4 linked regions of the Rattus norvegicus genome follow. The protein of the gene in region 1 interacts with the protein of each later gene in a biochemical or structural test. Links are inferred from orthologs where the notes say so. Each region holds a gene or a part of one and is shown on either strand. Other genes may lie near its edges.

Region 1 (3,129 bases):
CTGCAGGGACACAAAAGGAAGGCCTCAGAAGAGCAGTGGGAGAGACTGGAATGAGGGCTCATGCTGGGGCTGAGTGGTAGAGTCCCTGCCTAGAATCCCCAGAGAGGGGCTGGGGGCATGGCTGAGTGGTACAGCCCCTGTCTAGAATCCCCCAGTGAGGGGCTGGGGGCGTGGCTCAGTGGTAGAGCCCCTGCCAAGAATTCCCCAGTGAGGGGCTGGAGGTGTGGCTCAGTGGTAGAGCCCCTGCCTAGAATCCCCCAGGGAGGGGCTGGGGGCGTGGCTCAGTGGTAGAGCCCCTGCCTAGAATCCCCCAGGGAGGGGCTGGGGGCGTGGCTTAGAGGTAAAGCACCTGCTTAGAATCCCCCAGTGAGGGGCTGGGGGCGTGGCTCAGTGGTAGAGCCCCTGCCTAGAATCCCCCAGTGAGGGGCTGGGGGCGTGGCTCAGTGGTAGAGCCCCTGCCTAGAATCCCCCAGTGAGGGGCTGGGGGCGGGGCTCAGTGGTAGAGCCCCTGCCTAGAATCCCCCAGTGAGGGGCTGGGGGCGGGGCTCAGTGGTGGAGCTTTGGTCTAGCATTTCCTAGATCCTGGGTTCCATCCGCAATATGGAACCCCAATATGGAACAAATTAAAACAAAACAACCAAAAATCTGTAAAATAAGCGCTGGATTCTGGAGGGCCGGACTAGTATCAGGAATGGCCTAGAATGGAGTGTTGATGGAGAAGTGAAGGCTATGGTTGGAGGTTCTGAAAATGGGACAAGTAGGAGGGGAGGAGGATCCCACAGCTTGGGGGTTCTCTGGGGTATGAGTTTAGGCGGAGCTGGCCACTGACCCTGCGTGCCTTGCTCTGGTACTTGACGGCCTTCTTGGTGTCAGACACGGCCCTCTCCACGTAGTCCACAGCGTGTTCCACATTGTACTCGATCCTGTCAATCATCTCCCCCTGCAGGGCCAGGGGCACCCAAGGTCCAGGCCTCCCTCCTCAGGACCAGGAGAGGGTGCAGGGTAGGGGTTGAGGAAAGTACTCTGAAGTCAGAGAGAGAGAGAGGGAGAGAAGAGTTGTGTGAGGAGGGCACGTAGCTTCTCACCTGTGCCACTAGGCCTGAGTACAACATGCCAGGAGCAGCTCCCACCCGTCCCAAAGAGCAGCCATCCTGGGGTGTAGAATTGGCCATGCAGTCTCAGACAAGGTTGAGGACCATGCAGAGGGGGTAGTCAGCTGTGACCCTAGGAAATGGACAATGCCAGGCAAAGGCAGGGCAGGAGTGGGTGGGTCACAGTCTGTACTTCTCCTTGGCCAAAGCTTACCAGAAGAGCATGGGCAAGCCTCAGTGGTTGGGGGACAGTTCCAGAAAGCTCATGTCTGCTGTCTTCAGATGCTGAAACTCTCTGCCCAGCCCCCACAGTCCTCTTCGGATCCCATGTCTTTCATTTGAGTGTGACACTGTCCCACAAGACTTACAACCATGTTGGATCTCAGCCTAAGTCTGATGTCTTCTCCTCAGGGTTTCTCAGGAGAACCTGGCACAGTTTTCTCAGACCTGCCCACTGCTCATAACACACCTACCCCTAGAACCTTTGGTCTAGCCAGGCATGATCTGTGAGCCTAACACTCAGGAGATTGAGGCAAGAAGATCAGGAATTCAGGACTAGCCTGGGCTACATAGCAAAACCCTTTCTTTCTCTCTCTCTCTCTTTCTTTCTTTCTTCCTTTCTTTTTCTTTTTAAAAAATATTTAAGCGCTTACCTAGGAAGCGCAAGGCCCTGGGTTCGGTCCCCAGCTCCGAAAAAAAAAAAGAACCAAAAAAAAATATTTATTTATTTATTTATTTATTTATTTATTTATTTATTTATTATATATAGCTGTAGCTGTCTTCAGACACACCAGAAGAGGGCATCGGATCCCATTACAGATGGTTGTGAGCCACCATGTGGTTGCTGGGATTTGAACCCAGGACCTCTGGAAGAGCAGTCAGTGCTGTAGTCAGTGCTCTTAACCACTGAGGCCATCTCTCCAGCCCAGCAAAACCCTTTTTTATAAAGGTAAAAGAAATCATAAACACACAATGTCCCTGAAGACCATCACCAAATCAGACAGACAAACAAACAAACAAACAATAACAAAACCTCGACAAAGCCAGGTGTGGTAACAGCTAAAATCTTAGCACCGAGGAGACCCAGACAGGATCCCGAGTTCAAAGTCTAGCTTGGGCTAAACAGCAAGATTATTTCACAAAGGCAAAAGAACAAAACAAAACCAAAACTAAAAAGTCAACGGTAAAATCCACGTCAACGAAGGCAAACATGGTGGTTTGCCCCTGTGATTCCAGCTCTCAGCGATGAGGATTGCCACAGGTCTGAGGCCAAGGCTACAGAGGAAGACCCTGCCTCAAAACAAAAGCGAAGGGCTGGGGTGGAGATGTGACTCGGTTTTGGGAGGGCCCACATTTGATCTCCAGCACAATGTCGACTGAATACTGTCATACAGCCTCATCGTTTGGGAATGAGAGCCAAGAGGACAGTAGTCCAAGGACCAGAAGGGGAGGTGCCTTAGGGGATAAAAGCTGATGTCACCAAGCCAGAAACTCTCTCCTTTGAGCACAAATGGACATAGACACACAGACACAGACAGATACACAGACAGACACAGACAGCTACATAGACACAGACAGCTACACAGACACAGACAGCTACACAGAGACATATACACAGACACAGACACACAGACACAGATACACAGACACACAGACAGATACACAGAGACATATACACAGACACAGACACACAGACACAGACAGATACACAGACACACAGACAGATACACAGACACAGACAGACACACAGACACAGACAGACACAGACAGCTACACAGACACAGACAGATACACAGACACACAGACACAGATACACAGATAGACACAGATACACAGACAGACACAGACATAAAATTTTTTTTAAATAAAGTTCAGTGTTAGACTGGTAAGATGGCTCAGTAAAAATTTTTTTTAAATAAAAAAGTTCAGTGTTAGACTGGTGAGATGGCTTAGTGGTTATGAACACTGGTAGCTGTCACAGAGGACACTGGTTCAATTCCCAGCACCCACTTGTCAAATCACAACCATCCATCACACC
Region 2 (5,202 bases), on another chromosome or scaffold:
TTCCCAGAATTGTTTCTAAAATCAAATGCACATTAAGTGCTTAGCACGGTACCAGCCAGAAGTATAAGTTATCAATGAAGTGAATATTATTTCTTTGATGATGATGATTTGAGATAGTCTTCCTATGTAATCCAGACTTGCCTTGCATTTCAATCCCCCTGCTGCGGCTTCCTGAGTGCTGTGATTATAGGTGTGCGCTGCGCCATGCCAGAGTGCTGACACTCATGCTAAGTCACGGTCTTTACCTGCAGTCCTGACTCCTAGTATCGAACGTTTGAGCAGAAAATCAGGAAACTCCTACATAAACTTGGAATCAGCCAAGGCCTTGGGTAGTTTGGGTACATACACTTTAGGTAAGATGAAGTCTTGTCGATCATCCTTAACCGATAGAAGACATTCAATGCCATGAGTGCCTTCATTCTAAGCTCTAGATCAGTGGTTCTCAATCTTTGGGTTGAGACCCCTTGGGGGTTGTATATCTGATATCCTGCATATCAGATATTTACATTATGATTCATAATAGTAGCAAAATTAGTTATGATGTAGCGATGAAATAATTCTATGGTGGGGGGATCACTACAACATAAGGAACTGTATGAAAGGATCACAGCATTAGGAAGGTTGAGAATCTCTGCTACAAATGTACAAGTATATGTGCAACATACCTATGCACTGTTTACTTCTAGAACCCAAAGAGAAATGGTAAGGAATGGATTCAAGAAAATAAATCAGGGGCTGGAGAGGTAGCTCAGTGGTTAAGAGCACTACCTACTCTTCCAGAGGTCCTGAGTTCAATTCCCAGCAACCACATGGTGACTCACAACCATCTATACTATGATCTGTGCCCCTCTTCTGGCATGCAGGTGTACATGCAGATAGAACATACATAAAATATTTATTAAAGAAAAAAAAAGCCAGAACTTCAGATATAGATCATAAGTCAGCAGGCAAAATAACTTGATTTAGATTCCCTCTAGAACTATATTTTACTAGTATATTCCATTTTTTATGGGGTGGGGAGTGAGTGAGCTTCAAGTAGTCCAGGCTGGTCTCAAACTCTCTGCATATGGCTGGTAAGATGGCTCAGCAGGTAAGCAAGAGCTTACCATCCAACAATACAAGCCTGTTAATCTGAATTCAATCAACCGGGAACCACACGATAGGAGAGAACCAATCCACCAAAGTTGTCCTCAACCTCCAAGTCCACACCAAGGCACACCCCTCCCTACAAATAACTATCTGTAATAAAAATAATTCAAATCCTACGTAACAAGTTGGTGTTGCATTCCTGATCCCTTGTGCCAACCTTCTAGGTGTCTGGCCTATTGGCATCCATCATCACACTGGAGCTACATTTCATTTCTAATATGGTATCTAGAATATTCATGCATTTGGCCATGCACTAAACCCCATTATCCTCGTCTAAACAGTACTAGCTTCTGTCTTGGTACACTTTTACTATTGCTGGAGCAAAAGACTGTAAGCAGAGCAACTTACAGAAGAAAGCATTTATTTGACCATCATGGCCAAGGAGCAAGGCAGCAGGAAGAGAGGAAGCTTGAGCAATAGCTGAGAGCTCATATCGCAAACCACCACCAGACTGAGAGAACTAAGAGACTGAAAGAACTAATATATGTCTATTGTTTGATTGTTGTTTTGAGATGGGGTTTCGTGAGGTCACTGGGGCTGGCCTATATAACCGCCTCAGAAGTATTAAATATGTTATTATGGAACACTGTTCTCAGAGCATAAATAACCATTACCATCTTAATCAGAACAACTGGAATTACTCACAAAAGACTCTCTGGATGGGCCTGTTGATGTTCCCTGATAGAAGATGGGGTGTCACTGGACTCTCACCTGGAACTCTAGTCACTCACTCCCAATTCTGGCCCAATTTCACTTGGTTTTATAAGTTGCTACAATGTAGAAAGGGGACCCCACCCAAAAAGAAGCCACCTAAAAATCAAAATAAAACAAAAGGTCCTACTGAGAATGATAATTATTTAAGGTAAAGGCTAAATTTAACCATTTAACTTACTTTAATATGACCTATTCCAGAAGCATTGTGGGGGGAGGGTGTGAGTGTGCATGTCTTTAATTTCAGCACTTGAGAGACTGAGTTCCAGGCCAGCCTGAGCTATATAGTGAGATCATTTCTTTAAAAAAAAAAAAAAAAAAAAAAAAAAAGGTGCTTTAACAAGTATTGCCTTACTGGACCAGGCTGACTCAAACTCACAGATATCCATCTGCCTCTGCCTCCCAAGTGCTGGGACTAAAGGTGTGCACACCACTGCCCAGAGCCTCACAGAATTTAAGCGTAGTATTTTCCAAGAAAAATAAAAAGAATGTGAGAAGGATCTGTTTTTATCTTGCTATGACTGAACTATTAGCATTTTACTTGGACATCTCAAAACCCTCTTAAAAGGCAGCAGGGCAGATGAAGTTATTTCAATCCTTAAAATATCTTTAAGTAAGAAATTATACTATTTTCATAAGGCTGAGAACACTCTGTCAAAAAGCTGTCAGTTTCTGAACTCTCCTTCAATCACCATCCCTGCCCCCAGCCCAAACCTACCCAGATGACAAACAGCAAAAGGGAAAGATCTTTTTCCTCAACTCGGATGTTTTTCGCTTCCTCTACCACCAGTTTGTTTTTCCTAGTAGTGGAGTGACTAATGATAAAGAACGAAGGAAAGAAGTGTAACAGTACTTTAAGATACTTTTCTCACACACAAACCGAATTGGGGAAAAAAAAATTGCTCTTGCCTGACCATATTCTTGGTGCTTCCCCATGGGGAAGACTCAAGGTAAGCAGGGAATTTTCCTAGACAGTGAAGTCTGCCACGCCAGGAGCCTCGGGGTCATTCTTCTAACAACTATTTCAGAACTATGTGTTCATTAAGGCCACCAGACAGTCTGTTAATACTAACGAGAAACGCCGTGAGGCTGGAGGTGAGGGATGAAGAGCCTATCTACACAAGTCCAAGGCACCACCATAGCGCCTCCCTTCCTGTGCGGGATTCGCGCTGGTCGCCAACGCCTGGCGATTTCGTTCTCGGCCCAATCACCGAGAACTGGCCGGAGCTCCCTTCTCCCCTCCAGTCCGACCCCCAAAACGTTGAACCACCACCACACCCTCTTTTTCCTTGGACATCATCCTACCTGTCCCGCTGACCAGCTCACTCAGCTACTTTTCAGAAGGCTCACCCGGCTGCTCCAGCCACTCCTCTCCGGGCCCCGCTGCTCTTGGACTCTCTTAAGATCCGACAGGGTGCGTAAGAGTGCGCAGGCGCCCCGAGGATCTGTGCGCCTGCGCACTCGCAGGGCTCCCGCGGGGCAGACACACCTCTACCGCTGGAGCCAATCACCGCAGGGGGTGGGCGTGGACTTAAATCGCCTGCCACGCAGGCGGAGATCCTGGGAACTCACCCGTTAACCTTACCGGTTCTCCCGTTGGAGAGAAGGTGGGAGGAGTTCGTGCAGCCATCCTCGCTGAAGGCAGCTGTGCCCTGAACGTCTTAGTGTTTGAACTACAATTACTGCCAAAGCCTACAGGATGTTTTGGCATCTTTAAACCAGGGAAATAGATGCGTAAACACATTTCAATTAACAGAATACGGTCATAGAAATTCCGAGGCGCCTTTGTCCAACAATGAGCAAAACTTTTACCTTGAGGAATGCCTGTAAGATTGACGCAGGAAGTTGCTCTTAAAGTCACGAAGGATAAGTAGGAGTTCCTCCGGAAGTCTACGAGATAAGAGTTTTCCAGGCTTTGGGAACAACAACACGGCGCCTTCTGGAAGTTTCTTGAAATTTACTCTCGTTAGAAGCTTAAGAGTTCACTTTCTGAGACAAAAGAAAATGAAGGCATGGTAGCTCATACCGTGTTGTCCTCAAGCTATTAGAGGCTGAGGCTGGAGGATCACTTGACCTCTGGAATGTAAAGCCGGACTGACAACCTAGTGAGATCCATTCTTTCCCAAACCATTGTACTCTGAAATAGGAAAAGCTCTTTTATCCCTGAGACCATCACCACCAGGGCTGGGGATCAAACTAAGGAGAAAACTAGATCTTTAAAGGTCTTGTAGGTTTTGGAATGTTAAACCTAGAATTCGTTTTTATGGCCATTGAGTTACTGGAGGGTTTTAAACCACTTGCCCCAAGAATTCTTCCACGCACCTCTAAGAGTAAAGCAAAATGCTGGCAATCTAAGGAATAAAAAAAAAATATTTAAAAGAAATAGCTTAAGAGATAAAAGAAGTCTGAGAAATATCTTTTGAATTTAATAACTGGGGATTGGTGATAGTTGACAGACATTCCAATAGTTTGGAGAAGAGAAAGAAATGGGAACGTCATAAAATGCTTTTGGAAACTGGCTTTGTCAGAGAAAAAGGAATGATGTGTTTTATTTCTTTTTATTTTGTTGAGATGAAGACATAAGAACTCTAGTATGGGAGAAAAGACTCAACTGGGAAAAACAGTTGAATTTTTAAAAAATTGAGGGGGCGGTAATGATCTAGATAAAGATCTCGATAGGGTTAGAGCTGCCGTAGTCAAACCAGTGATGAGAGTTGGTGGTGGTGCACCTTCAATCCCAGCTCAGGAGGTGGAAGCAAGGGAATCTTTGTGTAGCCTGGTTTACATAGTAATTCTTTGTCTCAAAAGTAAGTAAATGAAATAAAACTTTGGGCTGGAAAGATGGCTGTTCTTCCACAGGACACCCATCTGGTAGTTCACAACTATCTGTAATTCAAGTTCCAGGTGATCCAAACCTTCCTGAACCTCTATAGGCACATGTACAAGGATGGTAAACAGGCATTCATGCAGGCTAAACACCCATACTAAAATATAATTTAAAAAATCAACACTAGGGGTTGGGGATTTAGCTCAGTGGTAGAGTGCTTGCCTAGCAAGCGCAAGGCCCTGGGTTTGGTCCCCAGCTCTGAAAAAAAGAAAAGAAAAGAAAAAAAAAACAACAACAACACTGATAGGAGGTCTAGAACAGTGGTTGAAGCCTATAATCTCAGCATTAGGAGGTAGAGAGGCAGATCAGAAATACGTCATCACTGACTATATAGTGATGTTGAGGTTAGCAACCTGAGGCCCTGCCTCTAACAATAAAATCCATAGGACTGAGGCTGGCCAGAAGGCTCAAGGTAAAGTACTTGTTCTCAAGCCAAGGACCTGATTTTAATTCCT
Region 3 (4,402 bases), on another chromosome or scaffold:
GGCCAACTTTAAAAAATTGTTGACAGGCTTCTGAAAACACTATCTTCTTTAGTACTCAAGCAGATTATCTTTGATGTCTGTTAGATCCATTTGATTTATGGCATCTTTGAGCTCCAGGATGCCCTGTCTACTGGCAAGATTATAGCATTGAAGTCTCCTACCCCAACGATCTCTGTATGAGGTTCAATATGTGATTTTTTTTTTGTCTGTGGAATTGTTTCTGAACATTAGGGTTTTTTTTTAATTCACAGGCAATGTCCTTTCATATCTCTTCTGATTAATTTTGGTTTAAAATCTTATTTTGTAAGATATTGATGTGACTATACCAGCTTGCTTTTTTAGGTTCATTTTCTTGGAATACATTTTCTATCCTTTTACCCTAAGGTAATGTCTATCCTTGATGGTGAGATGTATTTCTTGGATGCATCAGAAATATGGATCATATTTTCTAATCCATTCTCTTAACCTATGTCTTTTTATTGGGGAATTGAGACCATTACTATTGAGAGCTATCAGTGATTTGTCTGTAAGTTCCTGTTATTTTGCTGTAGTAGCAGCAAAGCTTCTTTCTTTGTTTTTTCCTTTGATGAACTGTTCTAGTGTTGTTTATTCCAGTATCCTCTTAGAAACTGTTAACCTTCTCTTCAGACTGAAACTTTTCTTGTAGTGTTTTTTTGCAGGGTTGTATTAATGGACAATAATTACTTGATTTTGTTTTTATCATAGAATGACTTTTCTTTCTCTATCAGTTGTGATATTTTGGTGCATGTGGTGGTTTAGTTTGGCATCTGTAGTCTCTCAGAGATTATAGTCTCAGAGCTTTCTAGTTCTCAGAGTCTCCACTGAGAAGTCATGTGTTATTCCCACATACCTGCCTTTGTGTCACTTGCTCATTTTCCTTTGGAGTTTTTAATGCCCTTTTTTGTTCTATACATTTATTGTTTTGAGTACTGTGTGTTGGGGGAATTTCTTTTCTGGCCCTGTCTATCTGGTGTTCTGTATGCTTCCCATACCTTGATAGGCATCTCTTTCTTTAGATTGAGTAAATTTTTTTTCTATGGATTTGTTAAAGATATTTTCTGTGCCTTTGATCTGGGTTTCTTCTCCTATCACTACTCTTATTATTTTTAGATTTTTTTTTCTTCTCACAGTATTTCAGATCTCCTAGATGTTCTGGTTATGGATTTTTCTTTTTTAGATTTAATATTTTCTTTTACTGAACCATCCAGTTTTTTTAATTTGTCTTCAAGACCTGAAATTATTTATTCCATTTTTATCTGTAGGTAAGATTTTAATTTGACTTCCTGAGTTTTATTTCTGCTTGCATTTCATTAGTTTTCATTAGTTTTGATAAATTCTACTTTCATGTCGTGGATTGCTTTCATTGTTTCATTGAACCATTTGTATCGTCAGCCTTCATTAAAGCACTTATTCAGTTCCTCTTTAATGGCCTTGAACATTTTCAGAATTGCTATTTTTACATCCTTGTATTATGCTGCAGTTAAATTCTTTTCCTGGGTGTCTGCTACACTAGGGTTGCTAGCTCCTAACGGAGGCATATTGTCTTGGTTGCTCATGTTGGTGATTTTACACCAGAGTCTAGGTATCTAGAGTCATGACTCTTAAAGCGCGGCTATTTGGTGTAGATATTTGATCTTGTCCTGGGTGGTTGTTCCATTCTTTGCCTGCTGTTGCCCACTCTGGGTTCTAGCCATTTGTGGAACCTATGGCTTCCTAAATCGCAGCAAAGTATGAAGATTCTAGGTCACTGATAAAGAGAGATTAATGGTTTGCAGGGAGCCAGTCACAGAGAAATGGCGATGGGCAAGAAGTATCTGAAAGCGGTGGCAGAGAAGAATTAGCAATTTTTGATTTTTCAACTAAAATTTGTAATATACTTTTTTCTAGTAACTCTACAAGTACTGTATAAATTAAAAACATCTAAAGTATTTGAAAAGTCAAGAAATAAAGATGACAGACAGAACACCGACATTGTAGATGAAGATCCATATGCCATTCAGATCATCTCCTGGTGCCCAGAGAGCAGAATGCTGTGCATAGCCGGAGTGTCGGCTCATGTCATCATTTATAGATTCAGCAAGCAGGAAGTGGTTACAGAAGTCATCCCGGTAATCACCTCAGAACTATCTTCGTATCAATTGTCTGATATTTTTAAGCTTTTAAAAACTGTTTAGTAAACAGTTTGCAGTTGCTTTTGTATAAAAATTTTGGAAGCACATTAGTATTTAAATCACCACATATTTTATGAAAAATAGCACTAATTTAATGGATTATCTGAATCTTTAAGGGTATTATATCTTTTACTTAAGGAATATCAACTTATTGGTATCCAATATATTCTATAGCCATGATGCTTATGTGGGTACATATGTGAACTCATATCTATGTACACAAGTTTTTAAAAATTTAGTCAAAACTCTTGTTTTACTTTTAAATATAGCTTTTTTTCTTTTTTTTAACTTTTAAAAATATTTTTTCTGGTACGTTATAATACAATGAGTATTAACTATTAGTAATAGGTAAACAGCCATTTTTTTTATGACAGATGCTTGAAGTCCGACTGTTATATGAAATAAATGATGTGGAAACGCCGGAGGGTGAGCAGCCACCCCCTTTGTCCACTCCCGTGGGCAGCTCCACCTCTCAGCCCATCCCCCCTCAGTCTCATCCGTCTACCAGCAGCAGCTCATCGGACGGGCTTCGAGATAATGTACCGTGTTTAAAGTAAGTTGCAAGAATGTAGGTCTGTTCTATATGTTACCTCGTAATGCGTAGCACTAGGCCTTCCCACGGTCTCAGTCAGGATCTACATTTAATGTGGCTCGTGGGCGTCTTCTCTAAAGCCTGAGGGTCCTGCTTCCTTTCATCCTCACGTTGGATTTTTCTCTTCTCGGATCATAGTGTCACTTTATTGTTACTTAAAAGACTTTATTTTTGCATCATTTTAAGACCATACTTGTTAATGCAGGGATAAATTAAATAAATGTTTTGTCTTCATTTTTCTGTTTAGTTAATATTTTTGAGTAGTTAAATTCTTAGGATATAGAGGAATAAAGCAATGTAAATAATTAGAGTCATTGAGTTGCACAAAGACTGTATGACTCGCAGTGTTACATGGAAAGTATCGGAAGTCACAGTGGGACAAGATCCTTTTCATGGGGTATTCAGAGTAGACAGGTCGACAGGACACCATTCGTTCTAACTAAAGAACTAGGCATTGTCACTTTTACTGTAGATCTTCCAGAATCTCTTCTACTACTGAGTACATGGTGATTGGCATCAGAATGGCCATATAATAAAAAAGCAACGCCCCCAAAAGGCAAACAGACTTAAAGAAAAATCACAAGTATGTTTAAAGTTCACTCTTTACAGAAGTTCATAGGTTCTTGAAAACTTGAGAGCATAGATTTTAAATGAGTGATTATCAAGTAAGGATGATGTTGCCTGTCTCAGGATATGTACCATGTCTGGAGACATTTTTAGTTTTACAACAGGGCGTGGGATCTGCTGTTGATGTTGAGTTGGTAGAGGGAAGCCTGAGATGAGGGTCACGTCTGCAGTGGGCATAGCAAAGAATTGCTTCCTTCAGAATGGGGGAGTCCAAGGGTCCCCATGACTCCTTCACCACCTCTCTATGCTCACCCTTCCCGTCCTATGCCGCCTCCTCTCCCACGCACTTCAGAATGTGTTTCAAAAACACACATCTCCTTTTAGCTACAGTTACAGCATATATTGTCTAGAGTGAAACACGGAATTTTATGCTTTTTATTCTTTTATTACTCAGTACTACTTTAACACTAAATTTGTAAATGTTACTATGATTTTTGGTTTTATGTTTTTAGTTTCTGATCATTTTAGAGGTGGCTAAAGTATAATTTATCTTTTATGTGCATTTGGTAATGTTAGTTATATGAAGTAATCTTTTAAAACATTTAGCACAATGTTATTACATAAAATGTGGGATAATTGTGTCACATCAACAAACTTAGAATACTTTAATTCAGGCTTTGAAAGTACTTGTACCTCTACATGTTTATAAATATATTCAGGAGTCTAAAACAAGAAATCAGTTTCCTACCCAAGGGTAAGGACCATCAATAAATTGTTTTTCCATGCCAAGAGAGGCTAGGGAATAGTTATGACAAGGGACACAGAGTAGCAAGACCTCTGACCTTGACTTCTCAGATAAAAATAAAAAGCAGGTGTCGGAAGCGAGTCTCTGTCCTCTGACTTTGCTTAGGTGAGTGTTTTCCTAGTTTTTGTACTGACTGAAAGAACACAGAGAATAAGTTAATAACCAGGACATCTTGTTAGTACCCCCACCAGTAAACTGAACACAGCATGGAGTCTAACTGCTACCGCAGACTATGACCTAGTCCAC
Region 4 (5,072 bases), on another chromosome or scaffold:
GCTGAATCCAGACATACGTTTCTGGAAAACAGAAATGACAGCAAGGCTCCCTCAGAGCCAATTCTTCTAAGTGGCTCTGCCTGGGACTCCTGAGTTGGATCTGAGGACTGTGGACTGCGTTTCCTGAGGACCCAAGGGGCCAAGGAGTCTTAGAGCCAGCCACATGGGGACACCTTTGTCCACCAGTACTTCTAACAAAGAATGCCACAGGCCAGTGAAAGATAATGGCTGGAGGATCACGGTCCTGGAAGCCGAGAGTCTACGGGAGTTAGGGGCATCAGCAGCGCCTTCTTGTCTTCCTGAGACATGGTAAGAGAGGCCTAAAAGGTGGAACTCGCTTTTGTAACAACCTGCTCCAGCGACAAGGACATTGGTAGGAGCCACGCCTCATAATCACCCTGACCTCTGAAGTGTCTTGTTCAAGGCATAGTAAACGACACTTAAAGGCATCCCAGGAGCTGAGTAGCCAGGCAGCCCACATGCCTCGGAGTCCCAAGACTTTTGTTTTCTCAACCAGAATCTCAGGGAAGGAATCTGATTGGCTAGCCTAGGTCACATGGTCAGACTGGCCTGAGGTGATTGGATCATTATGAATAAATACGGCAGCTGGAGCCTACAACTGAGGACACTGTGGTCACGAAAGAAGCTAGCATGTTTGTCTGTCTTGCCTGAGTTGGCAGTCTACATATCCTGATTCTGGAGCAGGCCCTGTCTTCCACCTCCCGTTCTCTCCGCCCTGGAGGGTACAGCCTACCTCTACCTGAGGCCACAGTTCTCCCTAATGTGGTCAGACCCGGCCAGAATGGAGATAATCATTCAAGACAAGCCTACCACTGTGCGGGAGGCTCAAACTGAGTCGGTCACCTTATGGAGGAGAAGCAGGGGTGGCCGTGAAGTATTCCCGCGAGGAGGATACATGGTGCTGGGTAATAGGTTGCATGCGAGGGGCTGAAGGCCATGCACCTCACACCGGGCATCCGGGGTAGATCCCAGGCACAACGCCCATGCCATGGCTTTTGCTTATCTCCTATGTGGGGCCCATGGAGCAGCACTTCTTTCCTATGTTCCAGTTTGTTCTGAGGGTTCCATAAGTTTAGTTGGTGTCGTTTTACTGGACAGCTTCTATAGAATATTCTAGAAAAAAAGTTGACACAGAAGAAAACAAATTCCATGACCATCTATTTCCACATTTAGGGAGCAGAACCTTAAATAGGACATCTGAGGAAGACTTCCAAATCCACCTTCCTTGCTATAAAATATAGGGCTCCTCTCTCTGCTCTGACATCGTTTGTTTGGTTGTTAAATAACATTTCTGCAAGTTTATAAGGAGGGTGGAGAACAATATCAGCTAGAATAAACTTTAATTTTGTACATTAAAGAAAAGATCAGCCCGTTCCCTGACTCCCAACATGCCCAAGCACTGTGCCACCCGGCTCCTCTTTTCCCTTTGATAAAATTATGGAACACCCTGCCCATCGCCACAGCTGTCCCGACACAGCCCATCCTGCATGTCTCTGCATCGGCAGGCCAGTGCCATGCTGCATGGACTCACGGCAGTCACTCTGGCTGGGGATGCTCTGCGGTTGCAGGCACTGCCTGGGTCCCAGCGGCTTCCCCCTGCTTGTTGCCCCCTTGCTGACAGTCCAGCCTGGTGTAGCCTGCCCATTCACCTCCCTGCCCTTCTTGTTCTCTGTTCTGCAGGCTCTGCGGAGAAAGCCTTTAGGAGAAGACTCATAGCAGAGAACTATTAGGTAAGATAAGGAGCCAGGTGACGAATCGCACCCTGTCAGACCTGAAAGCTGACTTTGCCACAACTTGACAAGCCAAAGGAGACTGGCCCCATCGGGTAGATGGGAAAACTGAAGTGCAGAGCAGTCATGGGGATGGCTCAGTTGGTAAAGTACTTGAACAAAGCATCAACATGAGACTCTGAGTTTGATTTCCAGCACCAATGAAAAAGACCAGGCACCCTGGCACTAGGAGGAGTAGAAATAAAAGGACTGCTGGCACTTGCTGGCTGCTGGTGTAGCTGAAAGAATCATGTTCTCTAGGTTCAGGAGAGACCACGTCTCAAGTGACCACAACTGGGGGCCCTAGAGGTGGAGTCCCAACAGCTTCTGTTGGCATCTCTGTGTGTTCTCAGATGTGCTTGTGCTTCCCACACTCAGCTAGGTGTGGGGGTGCACACTTGTAATCTCAGCACTGGGGAGGCAGACACAGGAGGATCCCCAGCCGGTCTAGCCTATACCTTGAGTTCCGGGCTAGCAAAAGACATGGTCTCAGAAATAATGGACAGATGCTGAGGAATGCTATCCAAGGTTGACCCCTGTCCCATATAAATGGGACACACACACAAGACAGAATCAGCAGGAGTCGTTAAGTCCTAGTACTAAGTAGGACTATAACCCACTCTGTCCTTCTACAACAATCCCAGGCCGCAAAGCTGCTGTCCACGTGGACTGGAGCTGACATCGCACGCCTGCCCGCCAGGATCCCTGCTGCCAAGTTCGTGCTCCGAGACATGGCGACTGACAACAGCAAGGTGGCTGATGGGCAGATCTCTACCGAGGTCAGCGAGGCTCCTGTGGCCAGTGACAAGCCCAAAACCCTTGTAGTCAAGGTGCAGAAGAAGGCTGGAGACCTCCCTGACCGGGACACATGGAAGGGACGCTTCGACTTCCTCATGTCCTGTGTGGGCTACGCCATCGGCCTGGGCAATGTATGGAGGTTCCCTTATCTCTGCGGAAAGAACGGTGGTGGTAGGTGGCCACCTGGTGACCTCGGGACCAGGTCTTTGCGTCTTCTGGGTCTACCTTGAGGGAAGGGAGGATCTTTGAGGGTGGGCCCTATTTGTCACCCCTTGCCCTCTCTTCAAGAGTCAGTCGCCAAGGACAGTTGTCTGTAGCAGTGATGTCAGAACTTTGGTATCTTTTGCAAGAGCTGGGACGCAATTTGAATGAAGCATGCTTTTAAGGCTAGCCCTGGATACTGCTTTCCAGGCAGGACACATGGGAATGGTATGTGGAACCTCAAAGCTGCTGGGAAGACTCAGGATCATGAGTGTGTCTCTCTTCCCTAGGGGCCTTCCTAATTCCATATTTCCTGACGCTCATCTTTGCGGGTGTTCCTCTCTTCCTTTTGGAGTGCTCCCTAGGCCAGTACACCTCCATTGGGGGCCTGGGCGTATGGAAGCTGGCTCCCATGTTCAAGGGTGAGTGGGGGACCTGGGCATGTGGAGGGGCCTTACCCAAGGTCCTTGGGAGCAAAGGAAGTCTTGAGCCCGTTTCTAAGAATGCCTCAGCAAGCCCTGTGCGTGTTCCACCTCAGGTGTGGGCCTCGCGGCAGCTGTGCTGTCCTTCTGGCTGAACATTTATTACATTGTCATCATCTCCTGGGCCATCTACTACCTGTACAACTCCTTCACCACGGTGAGTGGCTGCTGGTCAGGGCCTACCTAGGCTGTGGGAATCTACAGTGTGCTTACTGGGTCAGTCCTTGAATGAGGAGTGAGGGGTGTAGGTCGTCTCCTACAGTGTTTTCCCCAACCAGCCACGCTGAGAGCTGCAATCTAGCGCCTCAGGCATCCCACAACTGGATCCAATTGCCATTTTGTGTGAACTCAGCTGGTGCGGGTTTGAACGCTAACTCTACTGTCTATCAGCTGTGCAACTTCAGGAGCCAGCCTTAACTTCTCTGAGACCTCACCGACCCCATTTATAAATGTGATCCACAGAAGCAAAAGCAGGGTCTCAGACACATTGGGGTCTATGCCCATATGTTCACAGCATCATGTCTTATAAGAGCCATTCAAAAGCAATCCTGGGTCCCCAGGGAACACATGTGACTGAGCACACGCGTGTGTGGTGGAGTATTATTTGGCCTTAAAAAAGGAAGAAACTCTGGCCCATGTACTATGGGTGTGAAAGACGTTTGAAGATGCTAAGGCCATCACAGAAAGTGGATGCTGTGCGATTCTGCCTGCGTGTGCTTCTTAAAGTGGTCAGATTCAAGGAGACAGAAGGCATCATGGGGGAGCCTGAAGGATGAGGAGTTAGTGAGTAAAAGAGGCCAAGGTCCTAGTAAGAGCTACTGTGCAAAGCTGTGTGTACTCCGTGCTGCTCAGCAGCACACTGGGGTCACGGGGTGGACACAGTATGGCTTGGGAGCTAGTTCTTGGAGGGGCAAGAATTCACACTTGGGTGGTGTAGTCTTGTCTACCTGTCTCTGAGAGCTCTTGGGAAGAAGAGGTGGAAAGATGGTTGTGAGCAGGTGCGTGGGGTGACGAGAGTGGGCTGTGTGAGTGGAGTCCTCTCTGGACAGCCCCAGGGACTGAGCAGGCTCTGTCTGTGACTCTGCCTTTGCAGACTCTGCCGTGGAAACAGTGTGACAACCCCTGGAACACTGACCGCTGCTTCTCCAACTATAGCCTGGTCAACACCACCAACATGACCAGTGCCGTGGTGGAATTCTGGGAGTGAGTGGGGGATGGGCTGGGGCTGGGCTGGGGCTGGGCTGGGGCTGGGATGGGGATAGGGAGTGTGTGCCAGCTGGGTGGCAGCAGGTAATGTGAATTTTCCTTCAGCCATTCACTCCTGAATACCTACTGTGTGAGATCCGAAAATGCCAATAGACAATGACAGCAGCAGGCAACTCATATTGGCAGGAAGATGTGCAGGGTAGGGGAGGTGGCCTGCACCAGCCTGCAGGAGAATGTGGCTGCTTACCATGACATGCAGGGTCGGGGAGTCAGTGGTACTGAGTCAGTGGGAAGGAGTATGTGTGTAGGCACAGTGAGGGGGGCAGCTACAGAGAGTGCCCAGTGAGGGGCTGTGCTGAGAGGCAAGGGTGAACTGTGGACCTTGGGAAGTCTCAGTCATCTGTTCTCCAATCTCAGACAAGAGGGTCCTGTGTGCTACAAGGTCTCAGGCAGGAAAGTGACCTACCTAGGACTTATGAGGGTTCTCTGGGGCTGGGGAAGCACAGCAGAGGAGAGGGGAAAGCTAAGCAGCCCAGGAGTTGCAGTTGACACCAACTACTGCGACTTTCCAGGGTGAGAGTCCTGGCCCCACAGT

The links.
Region 2: the proteins of Stx1a (region 1) and Snap23 form a complex in vitro, tested with the Homo sapiens proteins (3 studies listed by BioGRID). The link is inferred for Rattus norvegicus from reciprocal best matches to the Homo sapiens genes STX1A and SNAP23.
Region 3: the proteins of Stx1a (region 1) and Stxbp5 form a complex in vitro, tested with the Homo sapiens proteins (2 studies listed by BioGRID). The link is inferred for Rattus norvegicus from reciprocal best matches to the Homo sapiens genes STX1A and STXBP5.
Region 4: the proteins of Stx1a (region 1) and Slc6a1 form a complex in vitro, tested with the Homo sapiens proteins (2 studies listed by BioGRID). The link is inferred for Rattus norvegicus from reciprocal best matches to the Homo sapiens genes STX1A and SLC6A1.

Annotation. Positions count from the first base shown.
Region 1 is NC_086030.1:27,279,828-27,282,956, forward strand, and holds part of Stx1a (syntaxin-1A), read right to left. Parts: intron 1,024-3,129; exon of another isoform or gene 941-1,023; coding exon 830-940; intron 1-829. UniProt on the Homo sapiens protein: Plays an essential role in hormone and neurotransmitter calcium-dependent exocytosis and endocytosis.
Region 2 is NC_086021.1:127,965,953-127,971,154, reverse strand, and holds the start of Snap23 (synaptosomal-associated protein 23), read right to left. Parts: upstream 3,270-5,202; 5' UTR 3,166-3,269; intron 2,187-3,165; exon of another isoform or gene 1-2,186. UniProt on the Homo sapiens protein: Essential component of the high affinity receptor for the general membrane fusion machinery and an important regulator of transport vesicle docking and fusion.
Region 3 is NC_086019.1:6,050,805-6,055,206, reverse strand, and holds part of Stxbp5 (syntaxin-binding protein 5), read left to right. Parts: intron 1-1,908; coding exon 1,909-2,129; intron 2,130-2,566; coding exon 2,567-2,745; intron 2,746-4,402. UniProt on the Homo sapiens protein: Plays a regulatory role in calcium-dependent exocytosis and neurotransmitter release. Inhibits membrane fusion between transport vesicles and the plasma membrane.
Region 4 is NC_086022.1:149,020,822-149,025,893, forward strand, and holds the start of Slc6a1 (sodium- and chloride-dependent GABA transporter 1), read left to right. Parts: upstream 1-1,697; 5' UTR 1,698-1,751; intron 1,752-2,434; 5' UTR 2,435-2,521; coding exon 2,522-2,759; intron 2,760-3,079; coding exon 3,080-3,211; intron 3,212-3,327; coding exon 3,328-3,428; intron 3,429-4,364; coding exon 4,365-4,474; intron 4,475-5,072. UniProt on the Homo sapiens protein: Mediates transport of gamma-aminobutyric acid (GABA) together with sodium and chloride and is responsible for the reuptake of GABA from the synapse. The translocation of GABA, however, may also occur in the reverse direction leading to the release of GABA.